Saccharomyces cerevisiae S288C: one gene and its partner. The gene in region 1 interacts genetically with each later gene. Each region holds a gene or a part of one and is shown on either strand. Other genes may lie near its edges.

Evidence for each region.
Region 2: mutations in YLF2 (region 1) and DED1 together harm fitness less than expected from each alone (positive genetic interaction), as found in Saccharomyces cerevisiae (2 studies listed by BioGRID).

Annotation. Positions count from the first base shown.
Region 1 is NC_001140.6:63,758-78,963, forward strand, and holds YLF2 (Ylf2p), read right to left. Parts: upstream 13,558-15,206; coding exon 12,340-13,557; downstream 1-12,339. Other genes in the region: SPO11 (DNA topoisomerase (ATP-hydrolyzing)), read right to left, coding at 1-400; AIM17 (Aim17p), read right to left, coding at 705-2,102; transcriptional regulator OPI1, read right to left, coding at 2,485-3,699; APM2 (Apm2p), read right to left, coding at 3,974-5,791; MCO14 (4a-hydroxytetrahydrobiopterin dehydratase), read left to right, coding at 5,951-6,313; YHL017W (uncharacterized protein), read left to right, coding at 6,519-8,117; DUR3 (Dur3p), read right to left, coding at 8,280-10,487; YHL015W-A (uncharacterized protein), read left to right, coding at 10,942-11,025; 40S ribosomal protein uS10 RPS20, read left to right, coding at 11,655-12,020; deubiquitinase OTU2, read right to left, coding at 13,673-14,596; and 1 more. UniProt on the Saccharomyces cerevisiae protein: Hydrolyzes ATP, and can also hydrolyze GTP with lower efficiency. Has lower affinity for GTP.
Region 2 is NC_001147.6:721,300-737,064, reverse strand, and holds DED1 (DEAD-box ATP-dependent RNA helicase DED1), read right to left. Parts: upstream 14,155-15,765; coding exon 12,340-14,154; downstream 1-12,339. Other genes in the region: NPT1 (nicotinate phosphoribosyltransferase), read left to right, coding at 1-628; tyrosine protein phosphatase PTP2, read right to left, coding at 888-3,140; DNA-directed RNA polymerase III core subunit RET1, read left to right, coding at 3,608-7,057; mRNA-binding ribosome synthesis protein NOC2, read right to left, coding at 7,421-9,553; GEP3 (Gep3p), read left to right, coding at 9,831-11,501; imidazoleglycerol-phosphate dehydratase HIS3, read right to left, coding at 14,457-15,119; MRM1 (Mrm1p), read left to right, coding at 15,357-15,765. UniProt on the Saccharomyces cerevisiae protein: ATP-binding RNA helicase involved in translation initiation. Remodels RNA in response to ADP and ATP concentrations by facilitating disruption, but also formation of RNA duplexes.

The DNA of each region.
Region 1 (15,206 bases):
AGATATCTCTCACTGTAGTGTTTTTACCTAGCGGTAATTTTTCCATAACGACTTTCAATAAGTTTAAAAGGATTGCGCATCTTTTCAACTTGAACTGATGAGTGCATAGATGCGGGCCATTCAAAGGGAAGTCCAATGTTGTGTGAATGTCAGGACTGCTTGTATCGCCTTTTTTTTTTTTGTTTTGAAAGACGATTGAAATAGGCTGTTGATGTTGCTCTAATGAATTAGCCGCCAATGACAGGAAATGCTTAATATGAGCCAAAACATCTGCGTTTGAACAGGGAGTTCCGTTGGAGTGACCATTGGAGTTCAAGTGAATGGACCGTCTTTTAGGAGTGAGTGCTTTGACCAATTCCTGCCTTGTTTTATATTTTTTCCGCAATCCCTCCAAAGCCATGAGAAGGTGAACTTAGTAAATCGTAAAATCTTAAGGGTGAAGACAAATATGTGAGGTTATTTGAATGATATTTAGTTGGATATAATCACTAAATAAAGTAGATTTTCCTTGGGTAGTAGACTTTCTTTTACGTTATTCCTTTTATAATTTTAATTTTAGTTATTGATTTCAATGAAACAAAAGGAAACTGACGGCTTCTTAAAATAAATATATTTAACATGAAACATTAAAAAAAAAATTGTCACTACACAGAGAGAAAATAAATAAATATAAAGAATCACATAACTATGCTGAAAAAATGAAGTTATTTGTCATGAGGAAACTTCTCTTCCAAGAACTTTAATTTACTCTTGAAAGTATCAGAATCGAAATAGCAACCCTTTAACCATTGCTGGTTTGAGCTTGTTAAAGAGTTAGCATGCAAAATTCTCCTGTTGTTAAAGATAACACAACAGTTTTCGGGCAACTGCAATCTAAATTGATTGTTGAAGTCATTGATATGACTCTCGAACAAGTTCAACCCCCTAATGAAAGACTTAAACAAAAATCTCTCTGTTAGTTTTGCTGGGGTGGTAATTAAATTCAAGTCCAGATTATTATTTAGATCTGAGGGCTTATCATAAATTCCGAAAGTGAAAGGTGCTTGGTATGGTGGAGAGTAGTTAATGCATTTAATCAAGGCCTCATAATTACCCAGAAGAGTATTGTCCTCGTTAATGTCGTGATGTTCGATTAAAGGTTTGGATTGGTAGTACCTCTTATCGCCGTTTTCATATATATAATTTACAGGAACAATTTGTAAAGCCTCATAAGCCTCAAAATCCGATTCTCTAACATTACGGGTAGCATAAAATGCGTCCACGAAGTAATTCATGGGTCTAGTATTGGGATCTTCCCCTTCTGTAGCAGGTAGAGATTGTAGAATCTGGAAACCTGGCACATTTTCTAAAAATGGTAAATCCGTATGTAGCGGCAAGTCTTTATTGGCATAATGGGCATTAACACTTGTCGCTTGGGATGCATTCACGTCAAATGTACCTTCACCATGTACAGTCGATCTTATGGGTCCGATCCTTTCACAGATCTTTTGTATGGTAAGGCCTTCAGAGGAGGATGAAGGAGTACCGGAAATGAAAGCGATACCAAACTTTTGTAGGTTGACCAGCGTTTGGAAAAGCTTGGAGTCATCCTTAGGATCAATAAACTCGTTGTAGCTCACAGAAAGTAAGTCCTTGACGTTATCTTTCAGGATGCGCTTATTCCATAACTGGGGTCTATATCTGGATTCTTGTTTTCTTGTTGCTGGCGAAACAAAACTGGAACCTTTATAGTCGATAAAGAATTGTAAAGGGAACTGGTGATGACCGCCATCTTTCCATTTCACCACTAGAGATTTTCCGTCCTCAGAAATTTGAATGTCCTGAGGAGCGGTCAATTTCTCGTTATGATACAGTTCTCCCGTGGTCACCAGCTTGGCACTATGGGAGGCATCTCTAAGAAAAACGTTGTTAAAGCAAACGGAAACCGGCTTGCTGGACTCCTCCATGGAGAACGTAATTGTCGTAGAATCTCTATTGAAGTATGTTTTGATGATATGTCCCCGATTCGCAGCCGCAGCTGTCGCCGCAGATGTGTATGTCCTTGGTGTAGTGGTCAGTCTTGCAAGGATTCGAGATCCTCTGCATAAATTTGATCTTAGCATCTTGTGTTGGTAATTGGTTTCTAATAATTATTTTTTCTTTTTAACTTGGAATATGTTCCTGGCCAGTTGTGAAGAGTTACCCCTGATATTTGGATCTAGAAGGGCTTCTCCTTATATAGATAGCACTTTTCCTCGAGGATCAACCCCGGAAATGTATTCCCGACCCCCTTACGGCTGCGCAAAGGTCCTTACTGAGCCATTCAAAGGTAAAGAGGGTCCGATAATAATGGTAGTTCAAAAGGGGAGAAGCGGGGCTGGTACAATATCACGATTATGATTATGATTATGATTATGATTATGATTATGGATATTATATAAACTATATTATTCCGTATAATATTATTACTGGTGGTAATGCATGAAAGACCTCAATCTGTCTCGGTTAGTCCTTGCTATCCACGTTGTCCTGAGAGGGCTTTACGTAATTGCCATCCTTCTGCTGTTGCTGCCTGTACTGTTGCTGCTGTTGCAAGAAACGCTCCCTGATCATTTCTTTTACCTCCTGTTTCTGCTTCACCCATTCTTCAGCCTTGCCCAACGTGGAGTCGACTACGCCCATGACATTTCTCACCATTTCCAGGGATTCTTTGGCGAGAATGAGTACTTTCCCATTCGCAGTTACGGAGGAGGACGGCGAGGCTGAGTCGTCGCCATCCTTGTTCCTTTTTTGCTGTTGCTGTTGCAGGAGTTGCTGCTGCAAAAGTTGCTGCTGCTGCTGCTGTTGCTGTTGCTGTTGCTGTTGCTCCACTTTTTGTTCTTCACAGTTGGCATAATGAAACGAAGCATGATGCGGCAGTGATGTACTGTGGACGCTGTCGAACCAATTTGTGGGTAAGTTTAGAAGACTTTCCCGAACCTGAGATCTTGCGGGCTCCGGCAGCGAATTTGCTGTGAACTTCGATATCAGCGAGTAGACTTTCTTGACTGTGCCGACCACCTCCATTTTCACCACAATAGACTGCTCGCTGGCGTTGACCTGCTCTGAGGCATCAAAAAACTCCTCATCGTCGTCGTCTTCGTCTGACGATGTCTCGTCCTCGCCAGCTCCAGTGGTCGTCCTAGCATTTCCATCTTGCTTGTGCAAAGGATGCACCTGCTCCTTTTCAACAAGGTCCTGTAAACACGAGATTTTATCGGAAAGCTGCTTATTGGCCAGCTTTAAAAGATGCAAGCACGTTACAAGCCTCTTCTTAGACTCGATGGACATGTTCAGCTTGTACTCTTTCAAGTTGTCCTTCCCCTTGGCAATCGCCCGCGACAGCTTCTGTCTCTTGTTGGTGAAGAACTCATCGTCGTTGTAGTCGTAATCATCATGCTCGTCATCGTCATCGTCTAGCAGCCTCCCTATTGATTTCAGTGGCCTCTTGTTGGTGTTTATTTCATCGTAGAATGTCACTACGTTACTGATAATTTTGTTACTTACGCGATCCAAAATGTTTAGCGGCGTCGTAGACGACTCACTTGCCGGCATTTTGTCAGCTTGTGAGACGTCCTCTGAAGGCTGCGACTTCTGTCTGCATGATTGTTTCAACACCCCAAGTACTTCAGCCGCTTCTACCTCTTCCTCTGATAATCCTAAACGTTGATTTTCAGACATCAATGACTAGTATCTTCGTTAAAAACACTGTCCTGATACACACGCTTTAATCAGCACTGTAAACAAAATGCCACGTTCTGGCCTGATATGCTTTCTTGGCTAAGTGCAGATCGCTGTCTTGCTCCAATCCTCTTATTAATCCCTCTCATTGAGGTGGAAAAAAAAAAAATAAGAACGCCCGATTTTACCCGGTTGCATATGAAGATTATAAGGTGCCATCTATATACTAAAACGAACGTACCATTTGTCTATCTATGAGATGTCTGCGTAAGCGTCAAACAATATATGCGTACTCTTCGTCGCTGACGGTCTTGTATCTGACCCAGGGGAAAGACTGGTACTGCAATTGTGGCTCTTCGACCTTCAAGTACTCAACTTTCAGGCCACTGCATGTACAGTACGGAATCTCGAAATCAATGTTGACCAACTTATCTCGAGGAGTAACGTGGGAAGTTTGTTGGTCGTGCACTTGTCTATATAGTTCTTCCAGCCTGGGTCCCGTGCGCAAGGGCGGCGGATTCATTGAGGTTTTCATTTCTTCTTGCAGGCGGTCATATTCTTCCTGGTTGAAGAGGGGGAACTCTGCCACCATGGATGCACACGTATTTGGATCATCTTCGTCGCTGTTGTACTGTGAGCTCTTGTTTGTGCTATGTTCTCGGTGCCCCTTCATGGTTTGTATCTCCCAGAGGAGAAAATCGTCACTCAAGTTAAACACGACCTTGCCGATGTTTGCCTTGAATCTAATTTGCTTGCTGAGGTCTATTTTATATTCCTGGAAGACTTTTGTCAGGGGAATTCTCACGTTTAGCTTCGACGTTGAGTTGGTGGGTTTAAAATTTGTTTGAATTTTGGTTACAATTTGGATTTTAAACTTCTTCAGTTTAGGTTTGATTTCAAAATCTTTCAACCTCACCATCGGCGCATCCTTTACATGTCTCTTCAACTCGTATTGGCAAAGAACAAATTCGCCATCCGGCGGTATAAATTCGATTTCTCTTGCATCTGTGGCGGCCTGCAAACCAGCATCATCGTCACTATTCTTTTCTTCATCTTTTTCAATAGTGTTTATGGAATCTAGTGAAACACACTGATGAAAGCTGGAATTCGACATGAACTGGGGGTCCCTGTTCAGTATCTTGTTTATGGATATTTTCAGTTTGGGCATCCCTGATAAATAGCATCTGCACACAATCTCTCCATGTATCAGATTTTTCCTAATCACTCCTTTTTCAAAATCCATCAAGTACTGAACACGTTCAATAACATCAAGAAAGAACTCGTTTTTGGCGTAATGTATCCCCTTTGTTCTCCATGATATGGGCATTATAATCGTCTTCGCAATATCGCCATTGATGTATAAATCATTACCGTCATTGGGGAGCTCGTCATTAGCGGCTTCTTTACCGGTATCATTCTTGTTCCTTAGTGTCTCCTTGACAGTTTCCACCACGTTTATGCCCCTATTTTCTTTATTGTTTACCATTATACTTTTTAATTTACTTTTGCCCACGCTTTTCCCTTTAGTGCCCTTTTTCTTCTTCCTTTTCTTCTTCTTATCCTTCCTCTTATTAGTATTGCTGTACTCGCTATCGCTATCGCTACCGCTACTACTACTGCTCTCTTCACCAGGGCTCCACTCCTCATTGTCTACTGTAACTCTTGGTACGTTGACCTTCACACGAATGTAGTCCTTGATGATACTTGGATCCGTCACTTGTACGATACCAAAGTCTATACATTCATCAATCAACTCCAGGACAAGTAAGATGTTGTCCAGTATGACATTCTTAGTTAAGACCTCGATTTCAAAATATTTTTGTAAAAGATGATAAAATTGTTCCAAAAAGGCTAGTATAGTCATTAAGTCTATATTTGGTTTGTCTGTGGTATGTATCACTGAAACGAAATGCAGAAAGTCTCTCTTCAAATGTATAAAGAACCAATCGTTTTGGGAGAGAATTGGAGGCGACCCGTCATGATAACATTGTTTGAAACTTGAAAGAACCGACGATAGATTCGGTAGTGCTCTAATATTCTTCGATACCAATGGCTCCAGATTTTCATCCAGGATAAAAAGGCTTGACGACATGCCTTTCCTTCCTGATTTCCTCTTTACTATTTTTGGGTCCCTTTATTTGCTTTTTGTCCAAGGCATTCTCAATTTTCCAATCTGGAATTTAAGCCCTTCCAGTTATAAAACAGTAAACACAACCTACCAAAAGCAGAAAGAAACCAAAGTAAGAATACAATGCACAACAAGATTGTTAGAATCGCGTCCAGTGCACTCACAGGGGGCAAACTACTCGAGAAGCTAAAACCCTTGACCCGTTGGGAAGTTCAATGGGACCCTAATAAGACCAAATGTTTGGGAATAACAAGAGAGGTAACATTCAAGGACTACGAAACCACATGGGCCTTTTTGACTCGTGTATCGATGAGATCTCATCTATGGGGCCACCATCCCCTGATTCACACAAGTTACACCTGGGTCAAGCTGGAACTTCATACGCATGACATAGACCCGAAAGACGGGGCTCACAGCCAGCTTAGCGATATAGACGTCCGGATGGCCAAGAGAATAGATTCCTACATCGATGAGATGACAACTTGATAAGGCAGGGCAGGTCTAAAAGGCTATTGCTCTTTCCATTTTTTTTTTCCTATCGATTTTACTACTAGAAATTTTTGCTACCCATACCCATTCTCGCATTGCAACATGGAAAAACTGAAAATTGAAAAAAAAGGTATTGAAATTTCAACTGTATTGTGTAAATCATTTTTGGGCAAACTAGACACAATAACTAGCGAACAGAAAAATGGATAGAACGTGGCTATTACTGACGTGGCTGTTGCTACTCTGTGGGGTAGTTCAAGGGAACCAAGAAAGCATAAATCAAAAATATCACGATGTCTGTTCAGGGATGTATTCCAAGGAGGATTTCAATGGAAAAGTTGACCCCTATATATCGTTTACGTTGGAGGAATTGTCACTTGCTGATGAAGACGATGATGGCGAGGGGGTTAGTGTTGCTGTGTTTGATTTCCAAGATTATGAGCATATTGGTGTGCGGTTACCAAATGGAGAAATTCAGTATATTTGCGATGACTACGCATTGGATTTGGGCCTCTGTGAGGATTCGTCGGAGGGGCAATTTATCATTCAAGAGACAGCCATCGATCCGTTCACCAGTAAGGAACATAAGCTAACGAGTCAGATTTTGACTTTCACTCAACAAGAATTGGGCACTAACGACAAGGTATACTCAATTAACAAAACTGGTTACTATTGTGTGACCACGTCATCTTTCATTTCTTCCAGTTCCAAGTTTAAGGCTACAGTGAATTTTAGGAACGCTTACGGTCAATTGGACGCTTCAGAGGCGTACAAGATGCCTATTTATGCCTTTTTGGCCGTCGCTTATGCCGTCTGTACATTAGTGTACTCTTGGCTATGCTGGAAGCATAGACATGAGTTACTGCCTTTACAAAGGTACATTTTGGTATTTTGTATTTTCCTAACAGCTGATACTATTTTCGTCTGGATGTACTATATTATTGAGAACCAGAAGGGAAACTCCAGCGTCGCTCTTCATGTCTATATGGTTTTCATATCGATCTTTAGCGCCGGTAAGATGACTTTCACGCTTCTCCTCGCCTTGCTGATATCTCTTGGATATGGTATAGTATATCCAAAACTGGACCGTACATTGCTAAGAAGATGTCAAATATTTGCGATATTTACGTTTGCAGTGTGCGTTGCATTCCTGGTCCAAAAATATTCCCAGAATTCTGAGTCTTTATCCAATTTGATTTTGATTACTGCTATCCCCTTAGTATTATGTCTATTCGCTTTCTATTATTTGACACTGTCTTCAATGAACAAAACAATGACTTATTTGAGGGAACAAAACCAAGTGGTGAAATTAAACATGTACAGAAAACTGATCATATTGTGTTATATTTCGTTGTTTATACTCTTCTTAGGCTTACTAGTCTCTACTTTTGCATACGTCGGTATGGACACTGTTGACATGATAGAACAATATTGGAAAACAGAATTCCTCATCACAGATACTTGGCCTAGTTTCGTTTACTTCTTGGTCTTCGTCATTTTCGCATTCTTCTGGAGACCTACAAGTACATCATATTTACTAGCGTGCTCGCATCAATTACCAACTGACATGGAAAATGTATCAGAATTCGATTTAGATGACATAAATTCCTTGTCTGATGAGGCATTGCCTAATAGAGAGCCACGTAATGACTACCAGGAACACGATCACAATATGGATATTGATTTAGCATCCGATTTTGAAGAAGTGCCAAGTGTAAATGCAAATACGAACGCAAATAATGACGTATTGTTCGACGTAGATTACGACAGAGATGCAAAAAATGATAGAAGTACTACATAAACGGACCAAATAACATAAATTTAGAAATTTCCTTTTTTTTTTTTTTTTCCCCTTGACTTTCTTTTCTTTTATGTACCTATAATGAAAGACTATTTTATAATTAGAGCTATTTAAAAATTATTAATGAGGTTGATGAGTGGATAGAATATTATATTTTGAAAGCTAAATTATTTCATCAACTTGTCCGAAATGTGATGATTGTCTATGTGCTCTCGCACTAATTTGGCTTGTTACTACATGCAGATCTTGTGGGTTCGAATTTTGCCATTCCCTTAATTTATAAGTTTGACCAGATAGATCCCAGTAAAGGCCTCGCAAAGTGGTATATATACCATGCCTACCTTCCCAGAGTGGATAAATACAAACGGCAAACGCACTGAAAAAAAGCCAGATGATCATCACAACAACCCAACCGGTAAAGAATTTTTTACTGAAGATATATTTGGAACCATACATGGGCATGGGCCAAACTACCAAAAATGCCAAAGCGAAAAAAACACATAGGAAGTATGCAATTTTTAAACCACGTGCTAGTTCTCTTTGTTCTTCGTCTAATTCATTTTGTAACTGTGTGTCATCTTCTTGAAAAATGGCATTACTTATTACAACACCAAGGTTAGGCTCAATCAATTTTTCATTATTTACTCTAACATCGTTTTTTTCACTATCTGAGACCAGAGAATTTGTTTCTTCTTCTTGTTCCTTATCGTTAGCTTCAGCATCGTAAAGCTGGATATCAGGGTCAGCCTGAACTAACTCTGCAGTTTCGTCAACTCTAGTAATATCTTTCATTTTCTCCCAGTCAAAATTTTGTGGCTTAAACACATACGTTAAAATAGGAATAAAAATGGCTGGTGATAGCAAAGCCACCAAGTTACCTGTTAACATTGGATAATCCATGAACGTAGTATCCACGGTCAATTCTTTATAAAGGGATTTGGTACAGACAAGCCATGACATTATAGCCAGTCCTGTGCCCAAAATAGGCGACACTACAGCGGCCACCAAATTCATGTCTTTGGAACATAAGGTCAAAACGACAGGTAATACTGCACTACTAATAATTATACCCATCATTTCATAGATATAACCCATAGAAATACCACCATAGTATAAACCAACCGAAAATCCACTCATGGCAAGACCAAAAAAGATACAAGCAACGTGTGATGTGTAAATCAATTTCTTACCGCTTGCACGAGGATCAATATATTCTCTATAGATATCGTAAGTGAAAACAGATGAAACGGCAATTAGTTCAGCAGACATAGCAGATGTGACGGCCATGAAAATCATTAGCAGCGATGCCACAGCACCCCCCTTACCCATGATAGCAATTGCAGCTGCCGGCAAGACTAACCCAGAATTTGCCTGGAACGAAGTAAGTGGATCAGGATAGGTGGGGAAGTTCGGAGACGTTTCCACCGCAAGACATGCTAATCCCATGGTCAATGAAATCAAAGAAGGTACTGCAAACCATGCTAACCCACCGATGGCATATGCTTTCAAACTCGCTGCGGGACTAGCAGAAATCGCTTTATTCCAATAACCATTATCAAGGAAAACGGTGCCGAAATTTCCAATCAGGTTAATAATTAATAAAATACCAGCGGATTTGGATGTCATGGTCATATATTCACCCTGATAGTTACCGTCTACTGGATGCCTCTTGGCGGCTTCACGAACTAAGTCATAAACTTTTCCCGGTGAGCCTAAAACATCACTAGTCGCATAAACTTTAAAGGCAAATACGAGGACAATGATGATAATGACACATGTGTGCATATAGTCCGTTAAGAAAGTTGCTTTAATCCCACCAAATAGAGTATAAACAACAACACCCACAGGCAGTAAAAAACATGATGCGATAGTGTTCATCCCGGTTAAATCACTAAAGACAGCAGAACCTGAAGTTAAAAGCATTGAAGTGACTAAAATATTCGTCGCGATGGCATAAAACAAGTAGCAACCATGGCCGATCTTACCATATCTTGTTCTCACTAATTCTAAATATGTGTGCGCATTGGGAGCCATTTGCTTGGTTTTAATTGCCAAAATTGCGAATGCAATAATTTGGAAGCATGCGCCAGCAGCGTACGCATAACCGCCAAATATACCGTCTGCATATTCCTTTGTTGACGACGTTAACAATGTAGAACACCAGATCCAACTAGAAACCACGGCTGCAGCCACTAAGCCGGTTTTTACAGATCTACCGGCGGTGGTGAATTCTTCTGCTGTGATGATTTCCTTTTGATAACGTTTCAGTAAATAAGTGGTCAAAACCATCATTCCTGCAAATACGGCCCCTAGGCCCAATACAATAGCGTACCCAGCGCCTTGAGGTAGCGGAGGTTTAAATTCTCCCATACTATAACAATGACAAATTTATGTTATTACTTTTTCTTGGATGAACCCAATTTAAGAATCTAGACAAGGGAAACTGCTAACAATAGTAAAGCTACGGCTATACTACTGCTTCATTTTATATACTTGGCGAACAAGACGTATCTTCATGCAACACCGATGAATAGAGCACATCTTGCCTGTTATCTAAGGATAACCGTACCGTAGAAAGCGCAATGATGAGTTACACCTTTCCCATAGGTACGCCTGCTTGTTTCTATGCTGCAACTGACTATTGGCCTGTCCACTCTCGAGCATTATTGTCTGTCGCATTTGCTATCATAAAATATCCCGATAAGATAACACCCAAATGTGCGCCGCCTCATTTCATCATCGGAAAAAAGGTGCGGCACCAATAGATAAACAGAATTGGAATGCCTAGTTTGAGTCAGCCTTGCTGCATAAAACAAATACCTGTATGACTGCTTTTGCATCTTTAAGAGAACCTTTGGTCTTGGCTAATCTCAAAATTAAAGTTCATATCTACCGTATGAAGCGCTGATAAAGAGCGCCAAATCTGCACCTTGTGCATTTTGTTCACACATTCTTGGCGCTCCTAACTGGAGAAACGTCTATCATTGAGGATAACTCCGGATAGTCGCATTCTGATTGAATAGCCGTCTAGCTCCCTATTGTGACTAGAATACTATTGACATCGTTTTCTCATCAAAACCTCCCGATAAAGGGAAAAAAAGAATTATCTGACCAGATCATTCGGAAAAATGCGTATCGTCATTGATATCCTTCTTGTCTTGTCTGCTGCTAACACTATTTACTATGGAAAGAGAGATTTCCCTGAAACTTCTTATTTTTATCTCTATAGAAGGGGAAAAGATAAAAGTAAAAATGTAAAAATGTTTACCTGCAAGTTCACACCTGTACATTTTCTACATCCGTAAACATAAGAGAAAAAATGCCACAACTATTTTTATGAAGATAAAGTTCGGGTAACGATAATGTTTTAATTTTGAAAAAAAAACTTCGACGCATTCGCGACTAGCCTCAGAGATTGAGTAATAGACCGTATTGAATTCAAAATAATAGTAAAGATGGGTTATTTCATTCAAGCTCAGCTTTAGATTGAAACTCCTACAAGAAAGCAAGTAAAATAAACAAAAAGGTATATACAAAATGTCTGACTTTCAAAAGGAAAAGGTTGAAGAACAAGAACAACAACAACAACAAATCATCAAGATTAGAATCACTTTGACCTCCACCAAGGTTAAGCAATTGGAAAACGTCTCTTCCAACATTGTCAAGAACGCTGAACAACACAACTTGGTCAAGAAGGGTCCAGTCAGACTACCAACCAAGGTTTTGAAGATCTCCACCAGAAAGACTCCAAATGGTGAAGGTTCTAAGACTTGGGAAACCTACGAAATGAGAATCCACAAGAGATACATCGACTTGGAAGCTCCTGTTCAAATCGTTAAGAGAATCACTCAAATCACCATTGAACCTGGTGTGGATGTCGAAGTTGTTGTTGCTTCCAACTAAGCTGGTTCTAACTGGAAATAATTTCCATTAGATTCCTCTTTTTCTCGTCCATTAACCAAAATATATTATTGAATTCAGCGGTTCCTTTTTTCTCATTTTCGCATATAGCTGCACTATTAGAATCAGCCCACTCTAGGTAAACACAGTTCCTCGATATACCTCTGTCTTACTATCAGTGGTTAAACCTTATGCAAATATAATATATATATATATATATATATATATATCTCATACTTTTGTTGATTCTTGTGTAATTATTGGAAAAGACAAAACAAAGCAAGCGTTTCTATTCATATTTACAAGTATTTTTTATGACAAACTATTTCTTAATTTTCCCACCGGCGGCTTTGAATAAGGCAATGTCATTGTCCTGCATAATATATTGTTTGCCTGCACGTTTGATAAGTCCCTTAGATTTTAGTAAAGACTCATTTAGCGGTGGTTCCATCTTCTTCAGATCGTCATATTTTATTACATCAGCGCTGATAAATGTTTCACGCAAGTCGCTATGGATTACACCCGCGGCCTCTTGAGCGGTGGTTCCCTCCCTTATATTCCATTGGTGAACTTCTTGTGGGCCGCATGTAAAGAAGCTAATTAAGTTCAACAACTTTCTCATTTCTAGTATTATTTGCGGTATCGCAGAAACTAACTGTTGATCAGAAACATTGGTATCTTCCTTGATCTTGTCAAAATACTCTGACGCTATGCCTTTACATTCCATCAATTGCGATTCAAATTCTGCACTGAAAAGTAGGAATTTATCTCCTGGCGAAAATTCGTTAATCCATTCTATAATATTTCTGACAAATTTATTTTCATTCCTAACGTAATCTTGAGGTGAAACATTTAGCAATATCAAAGTTGGTTTGGAGGTTAAAAAGTTATGCTTATTCAAAATTTTGACTTCATCCAGGTTCCAATGATCTTTGAAATGCCGGATTTTTTTACCGTTAAACAAATGTTCCTCTAATGCATCTAATAATTCTGTCTCTATCTTCATTTCCTGATGTTCTTTAGAATTCTTCGAAACCATTCTCATCTTCTTACTAAGTCTTTCCCTAATGTTTTCCAGAAATTCTAAGTCTTTCAAGATGAGTTCATCTTGTACCACGGATAGATCTCTGACAGGATCAACATTACCTTCTATATGGGTGATGTCTTCCTTTAAGAATCCTCTCACCACTTGAAATATCCCCTCTACGTGTCTGATATCGTTTAAGAACTTGTTACCCAAACCATGGCCTTGAGATGCGCCTCTGGTGAGCCCAGCAATATCATATATTGTGAGTGTTCCAGGTACGCATTTCGCACTCTGATATATTCTCAATAAATTAGAGAGCGGCACGCTAGGTATATTGACTTTGGCACATTCTGCGTCAATGGTAGCGAATGGATAATTTGCAGGATTTCCCAATTTTGAGTTTGTTATTGCTTGGAAAAAAGTCGATTTACCAACATTAGCAAGCCCTACTATCCCTGAAGTTGGATTATTCGATATCCTCCCAAGTAAAAATTTTCCTCCACCAATGTTCATATCCGATTATTACTTCTCTTTATTCTTTTATATCCATATGCTTCAAACTATACAATTAAATAGATGCATTAAGGTTTACAAATAAGCATATCTCATTAGATACGGATGGGAAAAATCAAGAATCATGCAATGAATTATAATGCTCACCTAATGCATAGCTGTGTTTATAGTAAACTAGCTTCAATTCAGGATTTTTCCCACATTCATTGTACACTTGAATAGGTCTTCCACTCATCAGAATGCTAATGGGGCAGTCGAAAACGTGAGAGAGAGCCAAAATCTCAATTTCACCACCCCATTGAGCTGTATGCTCCATCTCTTTCGTATACTCATCAATGTCTTTCATCTTCATAGTTTCTTCATCAAACAAATATGGAATGAAATCATCCCTGTGCTCCTGTACGTAATTACAACTCAACCATCTCAGCTTCATGACATCCATGTCTTGATCCAGTTTTTTTGGATCATGGCGTAATTTTAACTGATCTAATATAGATGCAAAGAGACAGTGGCCATCGGGTTGTATATCGAATTGTTTCAGTTTCTTCAACTCGCATAACTGATCTATAGACTCCTGCTCCATTTTTTTCAAGTCCGGTTGTTTGGATGCTTCTAAAGCAGCCTCTTCTTTCATTTTAGCAATTGCTGCATCTCTTTTGGCCAATCTTTCCTTTTGTCTATTGCGACGCTTCTTTGTCTGGCCTTGTTGCTGTTGTTGAACGGGAACATTCTGTTGTTCTTTCTCATCTCGAGATATGGATAGTTGTTCTAAAAGTTTTTCAGGAGTCACTTCATCTTCTTGTTCTGCGTCAAACACTTCATTATTTGCAATTTTCCAATCCCTTATTTCATTTTCTTGCTTAGTCTTTAGTTTATCTTGAAGATCTAGGCATTTCGAATTAACTTCTTTCCTTTTGGATTTAGTAGCCTGCTTTTTCATACCCGTTATCTTATTCTGTAAATCTTTATTTTCCTTGCGATGTCTCGCCAAAATATCTTCCATGTTTTCCAAATTCTCTCCTGATTCCATGCCGGTCATGATGAATATCTCTTGTTCTCTCTACTAGATTGAATGCTGTGCTTTAGTTGGATTTTGTATTAGATGCTTTCGAGATGCCCAAACTAAAAACAAGGCGTGAAGAAAAAGAAATTTCGCGACGCATAATAATACTTTCTTTGACAGGGCCAGGGCTGCCAACTTTTCAGATTTTAACAATTGAGAAATTTATTGTGGTAAGAAAACCATAAATTTCCACTCTGTTGGAATTAAAATTTCCTGTATTGAACGAGAGTAGAAGCACACAATTTTCTTGAAGAAAAAGTAGTTAGTCTTCCATAATGTTCAATGGCCTTATCACACAAAAAAAAAAGAATGAAAGTACTATCAGCTTATAAGTCCTGATTAATTAAAAAAAGAATGCAGGAATAGCACCTTATAGTAAAAAAAGTAAATTTAAGTAATTAAATATAACTATACTGTAACTTTTTTGAATTGTATTTTCCCTGGCATTTACAATCTTTTTGTAACCTGGAATTTAACGATAACTGACACAAGTGATTCTTGATAATAAAAAAAAAAAGGAAAAATATTTCACTGTTCTACATAGTATATACAAGATCAATGACGGTTTTCTCTGGAGTAAATAAAA
Region 2 (15,765 bases), on another chromosome or scaffold:
ATATGGAGTCAAGCCAATCGGTACTGTGGCTCACGAGTGGGTTATGGGAGTCGCTTCTATTAGTGAAGATTATTTGCATGCCAATAAAAATGCAATGGATTGTTGGATCAATACTTTTGGTGCAAAAAATGCTGGTTTAGCATTAACGGATACTTTTGGAACTGATGACTTTTTAAAATCATTCCGTCCACCATATTCTGATGCTTACGTCGGTGTTAGACAAGATTCTGGAGACCCAGTTGAGTATACCAAAAAGATTTCCCACCATTACCATGACGTGTTGAAATTGCCTAAATTCTCGAAGATTATCTGTTATTCCGATTCTTTGAACGTCGAAAAGGCAATAACTTACTCCCATGCAGCTAAAGAGAATGGAATGCTAGCCACATTCGGTATTGGCACAAACTTTACTAATGATTTTCGTAAGAAGTCAGAACCCCAGGTTAAAAGTGAGCCGTTAAACATCGTTATCAAACTATTAGAAGTAAATGGTAATCACGCTATCAAAATTTCTGATAACTTAGGTAAAAATATGGGAGATCCTGCCACTGTGAAGAGAGTGAAAGAGGAATTGGGATATACTGAACGAAGTTGGAGTGGTGATAACGAAGCGCACAGATGGACCTAATTATTCAGTTATGGGTACTGACATCTCTGCGATTTTATAAATATGACATATAGATATGCAGCTGATATCGCAAAAATAAAACATTATATGAAGTTGCGAGTACGTAAAAAAACCCGTGTTTCTTTATGAGGAGATTGTTAATTGTAGATTTATTTTTTTTTATTTTTAATGTATCTATATAATGAAATAAAATGCAACGAGAGGTTATGTAATTTATCAAAACGAAAAGTGTTTGTATAATAGGAGAAAAACAATTCTATTAACAAGGTAACGCGTTCTTTATCTGCTTTTGCAGGGCAAAATAATTTAATAATGCCTCATAACAAGCGATATATTGAGTTAGATTCTGTACCATTGAAATCCTTTGCTTTCTTAATTCATTCACTATGATAAAGATAAGGTCCTGAGTCATATTCCAAACATCAATCTTGTTTGAGTGATTTGTTGTAGGTGAAAGAATACTTAGTAGGAAATCCAAGGTAACGAAAACACCTGTTCTTCCACACCCTGCAGAACAATGGACTAATAGTGGCGATGAATTTGCTGTATCGAGATGTAACTCACTATTATTATCATCTATCAAATCAGGCTTGCAAACATCCTTTTCGAGGCTTGTAATAAAACTTTGCGGGTTAAACAATAACGAATTTTTGACTTTGTGTAGTTTAATGATGTCATTCATATCTACGCCGCATGAATCTAACCAATTCTTGTATTGTAATTGGTAAACAATAAACGGCTCGGATACAGCCATGGTAATGGAAGTAAGGTCACCATTATGCGGAAGGTCACAATCTTGACTGATATTATCATTTTGTGGAGCTGTTTTCTTGACTTGAAAGACTCTGAGAACACAGCCATTAATATTGCAAATATTCTCCCAGGTGTTCTGAAGTTTGATAGTGTGGTTGGAATATGACAGATTATTCCAGTAAATATCCCATTTTCTTAAATTCAATTCATCGTCAGAATTCAATGATATTATTACTTTAACTTTATTTAAAGTAATAACCTTCCAAAAATCATCCATCGTAGAAGGAAGCGGAGCTTGGGTAGCAATATACTTGAAATCAGGATTAATTTGCGTGAGCTTCAAATAGTTCGCATTGATATAGTCGTTCGGTTTGCAGGAGTGGTTTTTTGCATCTACGGGACACATCGGATATGACTTATCTGTTTTAGTTTCGGTTGTGGATGCTTCAGAAACTGCAGGTGGTTTCGGGGAGTGAGGTAACTTTACTCTTGAATGTTCGTAAGGTAAGATATTAGAATATCTATTCTTAGTAAAAGACTGAATTCCTTCAGTAAGTTCGTAATCATTTATTGGTGACATTATAGTATCATCGGAAGATAATGGTGATGGCGAAGAAGATGTGTTGTTTTTTGGTATAATTAATTTTAGCTTTTGATTTTTCTGTATGTTGCTTTTCAAAGAACTTTTATACTGTCGTTGCAAACTAGTTAAAGAATATAATTTTGAATCATCCGTGGATTGCGGACCCCTCTGCTTTTGTGATAGCTGCTTTTGATGTAAAGGCTTTTTCTTGAATTTCAGGCATTTCTCTAATCTTTGCATTTCAAAATTTTCTAAAGTTTCAAAATTGTTAAAGAGTTTCTTTAATATTACCTTTTCATTTTCTTTTACGGAGCAGAATTTTAGCCAATTCGGTAAAATCGTGTCGTTAGGTGCTAAGTCAGCAGGCATATTGAATTGGAAAAACTTTTGCAAAGAATTAGGAGAATAATGAATTAGATCCTTTTTCAGAGACTGTAAAAATATTTTATTTGAATCATTGGGTGGAGGTATGTTTATTCTTAAATTTAAAGTTGACCTTGAAGTTAAGTTTACATTCAAGTTCAAATCCAATTTGGGCAAGATGCAATTTTTCTTATTTTTTCCTAATGAGGGGGCCTTGCTATCATTCAGAGAGCCTTCGAGAAGAAAGAATTTCAAATAAGGAGATGGAAAAAAATGGCAGATGAACTTTTTAAACTTCTCAATGAGGCAAAAAGTTGTCTTTAAACAACTCGAAATTCTGCTAAACGAATCACTGAAAATGAAAATATCATAATCTTTGATGATCTTTGTGAACTCAATATACTTTTCATCAGATCCAAGGTAATTCTTTAGTAAGTTCTCGAACGGGTAGTTCGACCTTTTCACCAAAGTGCTGGGTAGCGGCAACGATAAAACTGTGATATCCTTAGCATTGGTATTGCCTAAAAATGAGTTGGTATTGGGGCCAGCGCACAGATCTAGTAAAAGTATTTTAGAATGCCTATTAGAGTTGTTCCGCCGTATGTTAACGTCGTCCAAATCTTTGCACGGTTTAATTTGATTTTGGGGAAGGTTAGACAGATTTATAGTTTCACCTCTATAGACGGGCATTTGACCAGGTGTTCTAGTTTGATTGACTTGTATGTGGCCCTTTTCCGATATAGCGGAAGAAGCCATTCTATTGCCGTTATTGTCTCTTTTGCCATTACGATATTGCTGTGCTATGCGATCCATCAATAGCAACGTCGATCCTATTTTATTGTAAACTATTAATAGCACTGGGGATCGGACCTAGGCTTCCAAACTAAGCGAAAAGGGCTGTGCAAAGCGGAAGAGGGGAACCAGGGGAATCGGGTCTGTCAGGTTGAGTGATCTCGTCTTTCTTGTCAAAGGTCGCAGCGCGGTGTTCAAAGAAAGATGATGATTCAAAGTTGGCACTTCCCAAAGGTTTTAATAGGTGCATTATTTTTATATATTCCTTATTGTTAGGTGTACTACACATAAAGATATAAATAGTTCCATAAAGCAGGCGCGTATTTTCCAGATCACGTCGGACGAAATTGTAATTGTGAGATGAGCTGAAAATTTTTCGATCTATGCTTAAGTGATGATATATGGACAAGTTAGGAAAGAATTAAAGGGAGTTTAAAGTGTTGATAATTGAGCGTTTTAATCGCTAGGGACTTAGTGCTTGTTGAAAAATGGTTGCTGCGACAAAAAGACGGAAAACTCATATACATAAGCATGTGAAAGACGAGGCTTTTGATGATTTATTGAAACCAGTATATAAAGGTAAGAAACTAACTGATGAAATCAATACTGCTCAGGATAAGTGGCACCTTTTACCAGCATTCTTGAAGGTTAAAGGTTTGGTGAAGCAACATCTTGACTCATTTAACTACTTCGTTGATACAGATTTAAAAAAAATTATAAAGGCAAATCAATTAATTTTGAGTGATGTTGATCCAGAATTCTACCTGAAGTACGTCGATATTAGAGTGGGTAAGAAGTCCTCTTCTTCGACAAAAGATTATTTGACTCCGCCTCATGAGTGTAGGCTTAGAGATATGACATACTCTGCACCAATCTACGTGGATATAGAATACACTAGAGGTAGAAACATTATTATGCATAAAGACGTGGAAATTGGTAGGATGCCGATCATGCTGAGATCTAATAAATGTATCCTATATGATGCTGATGAATCGAAAATGGCTAAATTAAACGAGTGTCCGTTGGATCCTGGTGGTTACTTTATTGTTAACGGTACCGAAAAAGTAATTCTTGTTCAAGAACAATTATCCAAGAATCGTATTATTGTGGAGGCAGATGAGAAGAAAGGCATTGTTCAGGCCTCCGTTACTTCATCTACCCATGAAAGAAAATCTAAGACTTATGTCATTACCAAAAATGGCAAGATCTATTTGAAGCACAATTCCATCGCTGAAGAAATTCCTATTGCTATTGTTCTCAAAGCCTGTGGTATTTTATCAGATTTAGAAATTATGCAATTGGTTTGCGGTAATGATAGTAGCTACCAAGATATTTTTGCAGTCAATTTGGAAGAATCTTCGAAATTAGATATTTACACACAACAGCAAGCTTTAGAGTATATTGGTGCAAAAGTAAAGACAATGAGAAGGCAAAAACTGACTATCCTGCAAGAGGGTATAGAGGCCATTGCTACCACGGTTATTGCACATTTGACTGTGGAAGCCCTTGACTTTAGAGAAAAGGCTTTATATATTGCCATGATGACGCGCAGGGTGGTGATGGCAATGTATAACCCTAAGATGATTGATGATAGAGATTATGTTGGTAATAAACGTCTTGAATTAGCAGGCCAATTGATTTCTTTATTGTTCGAAGATTTGTTCAAAAAGTTTAATAATGATTTTAAACTAAGCATTGATAAGGTCTTGAAAAAACCAAATAGGGCTATGGAATACGATGCATTATTGTCAATTAACGTCCATTCAAATAACATCACCAGCGGACTGAACAGAGCTATCTCAACCGGTAATTGGTCTCTTAAAAGATTTAAGATGGAAAGAGCGGGTGTTACACATGTTCTTTCCAGACTATCTTATATTTCCGCATTGGGTATGATGACAAGAATTTCTTCTCAGTTTGAAAAATCAAGAAAAGTTTCCGGTCCAAGAGCATTACAACCTTCTCAATTTGGTATGCTTTGTACTGCAGATACTCCAGAAGGTGAGGCGTGTGGTCTAGTGAAAAATTTAGCATTAATGACTCATATTACTACAGATGACGAAGAGGAACCTATAAAGAAATTATGTTATGTTCTTGGTGTAGAAGACATAACATTGATTGACAGTGCATCCTTGCATTTAAACTATGGTGTTTATTTGAATGGTACTTTAATTGGTTCAATCAGATTCCCAACAAAATTCGTTACTCAGTTCAGACATCTGAGAAGAACAGGTAAAGTGTCGGAGTTTATCTCAATTTATTCAAATTCTCACCAAATGGCAGTTCATATTGCAACAGATGGTGGTAGAATTTGTAGGCCATTAATCATTGTTTCTGATGGTCAATCTCGCGTGAAAGATATTCATTTACGCAAATTATTAGATGGTGAGTTAGATTTCGATGATTTTTTGAAACTCGGATTGGTGGAATATTTAGATGTCAATGAAGAAAACGATTCTTACATTGCATTGTATGAAAAAGATATAGTTCCCTCGATGACACATTTAGAAATCGAGCCATTCACAATTTTAGGTGCTGTTGCTGGTTTAATTCCATATCCACATCATAACCAATCCCCTCGTAACACATATCAATGTGCGATGGGTAAGCAAGCGATTGGTGCAATCGCCTACAATCAATTCAAGAGAATAGATACATTATTATACTTGATGACTTATCCACAACAGCCAATGGTGAAAACCAAAACAATTGAATTGATCGATTATGATAAATTACCTGCTGGTCAAAATGCTACGGTTGCTGTCATGTCCTATTCTGGTTATGATATTGAAGATGCTTTGGTTTTGAATAAGTCATCCATCGATAGAGGTTTCGGCCGTTGCGAAACACGTAGAAAGACAACCACTGTTTTGAAAAGATATGCGAACCATACCCAAGATATCATCGGTGGTATGAGAGTTGATGAAAATGGAGATCCTATCTGGCAACATCAATCTCTTGGTCCTGATGGTCTAGGTGAGGTGGGTATGAAGGTCCAAAGTGGACAAATTTATATAAATAAGTCAGTTCCAACTAACTCAGCAGACGCCCCAAACCCAAACAACGTAAACGTCCAAACTCAATATAGGGAAGCTCCGGTAATATATAGAGGTCCAGAACCTTCTCACATTGACCAAGTTATGATGTCTGTTTCGGATAACGATCAAGCTTTAATCAAAGTTTTGCTAAGACAAAACAGAAGGCCAGAATTAGGTGACAAATTTTCTTCTAGACATGGTCAAAAAGGTGTTTGTGGTATTATTGTAAAGCAAGAAGACATGCCCTTCAACGATCAAGGTATAGTTCCAGACATTATCATGAACCCTCACGGTTTTCCATCTCGTATGACTGTGGGTAAAATGATCGAACTGATATCGGGTAAAGCTGGTGTATTGAATGGTACATTGGAATATGGTACTTGTTTTGGTGGTTCTAAACTTGAAGATATGTCTAAGATTTTGGTAGACCAAGGTTTCAACTATTCCGGTAAGGATATGTTATATTCAGGTATAACAGGTGAGTGTTTACAGGCTTACATCTTTTTTGGCCCCATTTACTATCAAAAGTTAAAGCATATGGTCTTAGATAAGATGCATGCAAGAGCTCGTGGTCCAAGGGCTGTTTTGACACGTCAACCAACTGAGGGTAGATCTAGAGATGGTGGTCTGAGGTTGGGTGAGATGGAGAGGGATTGTGTAATCGCGTATGGTGCTTCACAATTGCTGTTAGAAAGGTTGATGATTAGTTCAGATGCTTTTGAAGTTGATGTCTGCGATAAATGTGGATTAATGGGCTATAGTGGTTGGTGTACTACCTGCAAAAGTGCTGAGAATATTATTAAGATGACTATTCCATATGCAGCAAAACTGTTATTCCAGGAATTATTATCCATGAACATAGCCCCAAGATTAAGATTGGAAGATATCTTCCAGCAGTAAGAAATCATATATCTTGTACTAAATTTTGCGTTATGTTAGCAATCATATCTATTTCGTGAGGAACTTTAAGAGAGTTGAACGATTTCGAAAATTATATAACAGTAAACCGTACTTCTTTCATTTTTGTACCTTGCTTTACATCATTACTTTTTATAAGATCCATCGAACGTTTGACGTGTTTTCTATCCATAAACCGGCCAAAATATAAAAATATCCAGCTGACAAGAGAAAGCTTGGAGTGCTCACATGTTAGCACATGTGAGCACAATGATATATACGCTTTAAAAAAGACTTTTCTTTATTTTACACATTTATAGACTTAACTATTGAATTCAAGACAAAAAATCAAATCTTGCTGAGTTGTTAAGCGTCTGACATTTCAACATCTTCGTTGTCATCATCACTTTCCAGACTGTTTAATAATTTTGCTTCTTCTGTTTCTCTTTCTTTGTCTTGTTCTTCCATACTTTCTCTCATTAATCTGGCCTTTTCTTCCTTAACTTCACGTTGTACTGCAACATAAGAACCTAAAGGTGTTTTATTCCAAGCTACATCATTCAAAAATCTTGAAACTTCAGATTTGTTTGTTGGCCCAAATTCAACATCTGATCTCTTTTCTTGGATGAATGTGCTGTTTTGGTTCAATTTTTCTACAACAGTTGATAAACGTTTGTTAAGTTTGACATTAGTTGAAGTCTTGATGTAACGGCGTAAAGAGATAATAACCGGTGTTACAAGTTCAGGAAATGCAATGTTTTTACAGTACAGAGCAAAATAATCGCCCAATAAGTCCACAAACTGTTCTGACAAACCCTCTTGGTATATTTTTGTATTCAGATAAGCTTGCGTACATTTGATGTTGTGCTCAAAATCGAAAGCAGCCAAGTTAGGGCTCTTTTTGGGTGCCTTAGTGAAAGCCGTTGAGGTTAAAATTTCAGAAAGTAAAGGATATATTGGAATAAAAACACCACTATTTTGAGAAAGTCTAATAAGTGATTTAATCAAATAAAATCTTAATGGGAAGAATTGTGGTGTTGGGATTAATCTGATTACACCCAAAGTAACCTGAACCAATGGGTAAATTAATTGTCGTAAAGGAGATTCACTGCCATTTTCCTTTTCTGGTTGACAAGCAAACGATAGTACACGAGACCAGAAATCCAAGGAGTGACAGAATTGCCAGTTGTATACAATCTTGTAAGCTTCTGCGGAATTAATTTTACTGGATTTTTTAGTTGTCGCGTTCATTGTATTTCTTAAATGAATTGCCAATTGCCTAATATACTCAAATCCAACTTGGTAACCTAGAACTTCATCGATACCGAACAATTCAGCTGCCGAATTTTTTTGAAAATTAATCAGTGGCATAGAACGCATATTCGTTTTACGACAACTTTTGATAAAAGTGGAGTACGTTGTTTTTAAGGTTGTTTCTAGCATAGACTTCTTGAACTCTTTGGTGGTATTGATCAAAAAGGCAAAAGAAGCAATCTGGGTTTCTAATTCTCTCGTTGTAGACCATACTCCAACAATTGATTTAATAAGCTCCTTTAAGATCCTTCTGTATGATAAAAGATAAGGCATCAATTCGTTGACAGAATGAAGAACTAATGCTGCTGTTTCCGTATTAGTAATATCATTCAATAAAATCAACAAAGAGCCAGCATGCGACTTGACAATGGACGAGACCCTGGAGACGTTACCTCCATTTGGTAAGGTCCTTGCGCCTTTTACAATCTTGTATGGGGCCATCTTTTGAATCGCTTGTGGTACATCTTTCAAGACCATGAACATCAATTCGTGGAATGCTTTCTCATCAGTGATAGCATATTTATAGTCTTCGATGTTTTCTTCCTTGTTCAAATTTACAGCAACCTTGAAAGCACTGATTATGTTCCTTAGTAATTTTAAGCTTGGAGAATCATGAAGTTGTTTTTTCCATTTCCTAACCAATTTCAAAGAAAGCTCAATTTTTTCCTTTTCCAGCTCCATTTGTTCAGATTTTTCTTCAATATTACTGTTTCTTTCAGCATCTTCACCTTCATCTTGACTATCAATTCCATCCAATGGATTGGTACCTGCGAAGTCCAATAAATCTTTATCATTTTCCTCCAAATACTTATAAAATTCGGGATCCTTTTCGGCCAACTTTGCCATGCTTTGTCCCATGTCTTCCTCCTCTTCGGAAGAGGAGGAATCTTCATCAGATTGCTCTTTCGTAGTTTTTTTCTTCAATTTTTTATTCTCTTTTGGAATTTCGATGCCCTTTTCAAAAAAAGTTTCGACAGACATGTCCTTAAAAACCTCTTCCTTTGCAGATTTTTTCAACTGCTGTTGTTCCCTAGTACCAGCAGCATCGGCCTTTTCCTGATCAGTTTTGTTGCCACGACGGCCTTGGATTCTCTTCTTTTGGATCTTTTCCTTTCTTCTTTGGTCTAGAGTATGCTTCAAATGCTTCGATTGAAACTTCTTGGTCGATTTAGAAACTTTACCCATCTCCACTTATTCTATTGTTGACCTTCTCTATCTCTCTTACAATTCAAAAATTAGTATAAATGAATTTACCCATGTACAAGTATTCTGTTTCTCTATTTTCTCTGTAAATATCATGCTCATCTCATCGGAAGAAAAAATTCAGAAAATTTTTCAAAACTCGTCGAAGATGATAACTACTATTTGATGTTATGGGTCAAGATACATTTAACAGAGCAATATTAACGAAGGACCTTCCTAGTAACACGTCTAATTACTTTGAACAATTCAATATGCGGGAATGTTGAATCTGTGTCATGCTCTTCGAGGCGTACGTCAGTTTTCCTGTTCTGTGATTGTGAAAGTGAAATGTGCGTCATGTTCCATAAAACTACAGGATCAGGATCCTAGTAAACCAGGATATTATACGAAGCCAAAAAGTCTACCCGACTCAAAACTAAATCCTGACCTCCAAGATCTGAAGTATTTGCTATTCAGTCAAGACATACAGCTCTCGAAACAGGCAACTCAAAATGATCCTGACCTCAAAACCAAAAGAGATTTACTATTGAGAGTGATTTGCAAAAGGTGCAGTAATGCCCTTCATCATAACAATTATAACCCGGAAGAGTTTCCCGAAAGCACATTAAATGATATTCTGAACTACGTCCCCAGAGGCTCAAATGTTATGCATATTGTCCCCTTTGTAGAATTTCCCTTACATTTAGACCCCAATGTTTTGAAACGAAATGATTTAGATACTACATTAGTGTTAACGAAAAGCGATCAAGTTTTTAAAGATAAAAATGCTGTCAGCAAAAAGGTTCCTATATTCATGAAGCAATTTTTAAAGAACACTTTAAGAATTGACTCAAATAAAACATTCGCCATATCTGCGCTGAAAAACTGGAACATATCCATGTTTTACAACTACTTTAAAAACTACACATATTTGCTAGGCAACCCTAATGTTGGTAAATCAACTTTGATCAATACTCTACTACAGAAATATCTTGGATATAAGGTTAAAATTGATTCTACTGGGAAAATTAACTCCCCCTCTGAAGAAGTGATGCAAGAAGCTTTTACGAACCCGAAGAATTTTTTCAAGATTCAAGCTGCTGGTGTATCACATATTCCCAATTTAACTAGATCCGTACAAGCCTACCAAGTTGGAGGTAAAATACTTTTTGATCTTCCAGGCTATTCAACTTCCACCTCCAGATTACGCCTAGAAGAACTAATCGACGAGCGTTGGCTTCAAAGGCTGCGAAAAACCGATTTATTCAATCGGAAGCATATAAAACAGAAGACTTATGAGTCTATGAAGGGCACATCACAGGGAGGCTGTTATACCGTGGGAGGGATTTTCTACCTGGTACCTCCGAAAGGATCCATAAATCAGATTGTGAAATACATACCAGGACCATCAAAAACATTCAAGAACATTGAAAAAGGTATTGATGTATTCAACTCGTGCAATTCATCATCTGGCACACATCCGTTATCACGGTATTGTGGAATTAAAAGCGTTATATGCGAAAAAAGCCAGTACAAAAGGTACGCAATACCTCCATTTATTGGAAGTATAGAGATCGTTCTGAAAGATATAGGATATATTTTATTAAGGACAACTGGGAGGTATGAGTTCAAAGGACTACATGAGATATGGATACCTAGGGGTATCCAAGTAGGTATAAGGGAACCGCTAGAAAACTTGATTGAGTCTGGCTACCAGCGTTACATTGAAACAAATGGTAAAGAGTCAAGCTGTCCCAGAGATAGACCGATCATCAGTTCCCTGTATGAGATGGCCCCGGATGAAGCTGATACTTTGAACGCAGTGAAGAAGTCGTATTTAGAAAAAACCGAGAAAGATTTATCTGCTAGAAGATTTGTCGACGATGATCCTTATGATTTGGTTCAACACCTAGAAAAAAAAAAGAATCCCTATTGGTACTACCAATGGTAAGACTCGCTGTTCACTTGGTTGCACCAATAAGTAGTAACGCACATGTAAATATGAATGTAAGTAAACTAAAAAGAAAGTTGGGAACAAAGTATATTCAAAAACGAATATACAGGAAATAAGCAATAGAAAGTATTATGAATTATACTGTTGATGTTTATTCTATCTACAAAACACAAATAAAGTAGAGTATAAGGCGAGTCAATAAAAAGGCCTCAACTCAAAAAAGGGAGAGAAAATGTAGGAAGGAAATGAATACTATTATACAATGGTACTGTGAACAGTAAGAATATTTTCGTAAGGTAAAAAGAAACAATAACAAACAAAAAAGGTCGAAAAAACTGTTCAAAATAAAGTCTCTATTCGAAGAAAACTGAAAAAGTGGAAGTGGAAATAAAAGATAATGTAAATAATCAGTCCAATGAATAGATCGGTTAAAGCAATTAAGCAAAAATAGTGGAAAATATAGTAAAAGTAGATAATAATTCCTTCATCTTTTCACTAAAAGATGAAAATCTTAATTGCTTATAATCATAGTGAAATCTTTAGTTTTTTAGTTAATATTAGCAAAGGCATTTTATAGTACAATTGTAAAATAATATTAGAACCATGAAAGAAAAAAAAAACAAAAAAACGATGGATAAAAAATAAGAGTGGAAAAAAAGTAACAGATTAGTGGCTCCCAGTGAGAAAATAAAAAAAATATGGGGCCAATCAACGGCTAGAGAGAAACAAACAACACAGTATTTTCAGGACTTGGATAAAAAAAGTGATTGGAGAAAGAAAATATAAGACATGCTAGAGCAGAAAACGAAGAATCCTCACCCTAGTTTGTCTGAAATCACCACCAAGAAGAGTTGTTTGAACCACCGCTGTTACCCCAGCCAGAAGACTTGGAATCGCTACCCCAGCCACTACCGCCTCTGAAAGAGTTATCTCTGCTTCTTGAAGAGCCCCAGCCGCCTGCGCTAGCGCCTCCGGCCTTACGGTAATCTCTGTTGTTGTTGCGACCGAAACCGCCTCTACGGCTGTTGCTTCTGCTACCTGGAGCACTCATCATAGCGTCCTTCAAGAATGATGGGACTTCTTGGTTAGCTTCAGTCAAAATTTCATGCAAACCTTTAACAATGTTACTGTTTTCACTGTTGAAAAAGGCAGTGGCAAGACCGGTGTTACCGGCACGACCAGTTCTACCAATTCTATGGACGTAATCATCGACATCACTTGGTAAATCGTAGTTGATAACGTGGGTGACGTTTGGAATATCTAGACCTCTAGCTGCGACAGCTGTGGCAACCAATAAAGTAGCGGCACCAGATCTGAAGGCGGCCAAGGCACGTTCTCTCTCAGATTGGGTACGGTCACCATGAATGGCGGTAGCTCTAAAGTTTTGCATGATCAGGAAATCGGTCAATTGATCTGCCATTCTCTTAGTTTCGACAAAGATCAAAGTCAAACCGTCAGTGGATGCAGACAATAGATCCAATAAGGCTGACTTCTTATCTTGATTTTCAACGTATAAGACTTTTTGAGTAATGTTTTCTGAAGTAGAACCGACTCTACCAACAGACAAAAAGATGTAGTCACTTAAGAAATCACGGGCCAAATGTTGGATATCAGCGGGAAAAGTAGCTGAGAACATCAGAGTTTGTCTTTCACCAACAGGAGTCATATCACAGTCTTCGACAATATGTCTAATTTGAGGTTCGAAACCCATATCCAACATTCTATCAGCTTCATCTAGAACCAAATACTTGACGTTGGCCAAAGAAATTTTACCACGTTCCAACAAGTCATTCAAACGACCTGGAGTAGCGACTAAAAGATCGCAACCACGTTCAATTTCTCTTAGTTGGTTACCAATTGGAGAACCACCGTAGACGACGCAGGCCTTGACCCAGGATCTATAAGTAAATTTCTTGGCTTCATCGAAAATTTGGGTGGCCAACTCTCTAGTTGGAGCCATAATGACAGCAGTTGGGTAGGCCTTTCTTTGGTAAAAGGAGCCTTGAGACTCTGGTTGAGGAGATGGTCCAGTCTTAAATGATTCGGACAACACTGGGAATAAAAACCCACCAGTCTTACCAGAACCGGTCTGCGCACAGGCCATCAAATCTCTGCCGTTGGCAACGATAGGGACGGAGTATTTTTGCACAGGTGTTGGCTTGGTGAAACGGGCCAATTTGATGTTTTCCAATAACAATCCGTCCAATGGAGGTGAGGTAAATTCTGTGATTGGTTCAGGAACATCCTTACCAGAGGCGTCCACTGGAATATCATCGTAGTTATCGAAGTTAATACCAGAAGATTGGAAATTTGGATCCTCGGGGACACCAAATATGGCGATCTCGGCCTTTTCGTTTCTTGGAGCTGGGACATGTTTGCCATCGATCCATCTACCACCAGAACGGCCGTTAGATCTGCTGCCACCGTTGTTTCCACCGAAGAAACCACCGTTGCCGTAACCACCACGACGGTTGTTGCTAAAGAAGCTGCCACCGCCACGGCCACCGTTGTAGCCGCCGTTGTTGTTATTGTAGTTGCTACTGTTATTTCTGGCACTTCTTGGTTTTCCTCTTAAGTGAGGAGGAACATAACCATTCTCGTTGTTGTCGTTGATGCTTAAATTTTGCACTTGTTCGCTCAGTTCAGCCATAATATGAAATGCTTTTCTTGTTGTTCTTACGGAATACCACTTGCCACCTATCACCACAACTAACTTTTTCCCGTTCCTCCATCTCTTTTATATTTTTTTTCTCGAGTTCAAGAGAAAAAAAAAGAAAAAGCAAAAAGAAAAAAGGAAAGCGCGCCTCGTTCAGAATGACACGTATAGAATGATGCATTACCTTGTCATCTTCAGTATCATACTGTTCGTATACATACTTACTGACATTCATAGGTATACATATATACACATGTATATATATCGTATGCTGCAGCTTTAAATAATCGGTGTCACTACATAAGAACACCTTTGGTGGAGGGAACATCGTTGGTACCATTGGGCGAGGTGGCTTCTCTTATGGCAACCGCAAGAGCCTTGAACGCACTCTCACTACGGTGATGATCATTCTTGCCTCGCAGACAATCAACGTGGAGGGTAATTCTGCTAGCCTCTGCAAAGCTTTCAAGAAAATGCGGGATCATCTCGCAAGAGAGATCTCCTACTTTCTCCCTTTGCAAACCAAGTTCGACAACTGCGTACGGCCTGTTCGAAAGATCTACCACCGCTCTGGAAAGTGCCTCATCCAAAGGCGCAAATCCTGATCCAAACCTTTTTACTCCACGCACGGCCCCTAGGGCCTCTTTAAAAGCTTGACCGAGAGCAATCCCGCAGTCTTCAGTGGTGTGATGGTCGTCTATGTGTAAGTCACCAATGCACTCAACGATTAGCGACCAGCCGGAATGCTTGGCCAGAGCATGTATCATATGGTCCAGAAACCCTATACCTGTGTGGACGTTAATCACTTGCGATTGTGTGGCCTGTTCTGCTACTGCTTCTGCCTCTTTTTCTGGGAAGATCGAGTGCTCTATCGCTAGGGGACCACCCTTTAAAGAGATCGCAATCTGAATCTTGGTTTCATTTGTAATACGCTTTACTAGGGCTTTCTGCTCTGTCATCTTTGCCTTCGTTTATCTTGCCTGCTCATTTTTTAGTATATTCTTCGAAGAAATCACATTACTTTATATAATGTATAATTCATTATGTGATAATGCCAATCGCTAAGAAAAAAAAAGAGTCATCCGCTAGGTGGAAAAAAAAAAATGAAAATCATTACCGAGGCATAAAAAAATATAGAGTGTACTAGAGGAGGCCAAGAGTAATAGAAAAAGAAAATTGCGGGAAAGGACTGTGTTATGACTTCCCTGACTAATGCCGTGTTCAAACGATACCTGGCAGTGACTCCTAGCGCTCACCAAGCTCTTAAAACGAGAATTAAGAAAAAGTCGTCATCTTTCGATAAGTTTTTCCCACAGCAAAGCAATAGTAGAAAAAAACAATGGGAAACGTTGAATGAAGACAAAGCGTCGTGGTTTAAAAGGAAATACGCTCACGTACATGCTAGGGAACAGGACCGTGCAGCGGATCCATATGGCAAGAAAAAGGCCCACGTCGAGAAGCTAAAGGAGATCAAGAATCAGGCGAAATTAAACCAAAAGAGCCATAAATCCAAGTTCCAGAATAAGGACATTGCTCTGAAACTTATGAATGATAATCCTATCTTCGAATATGTCTACGGCACCAACAGCGTTTATGCAGCGTTGC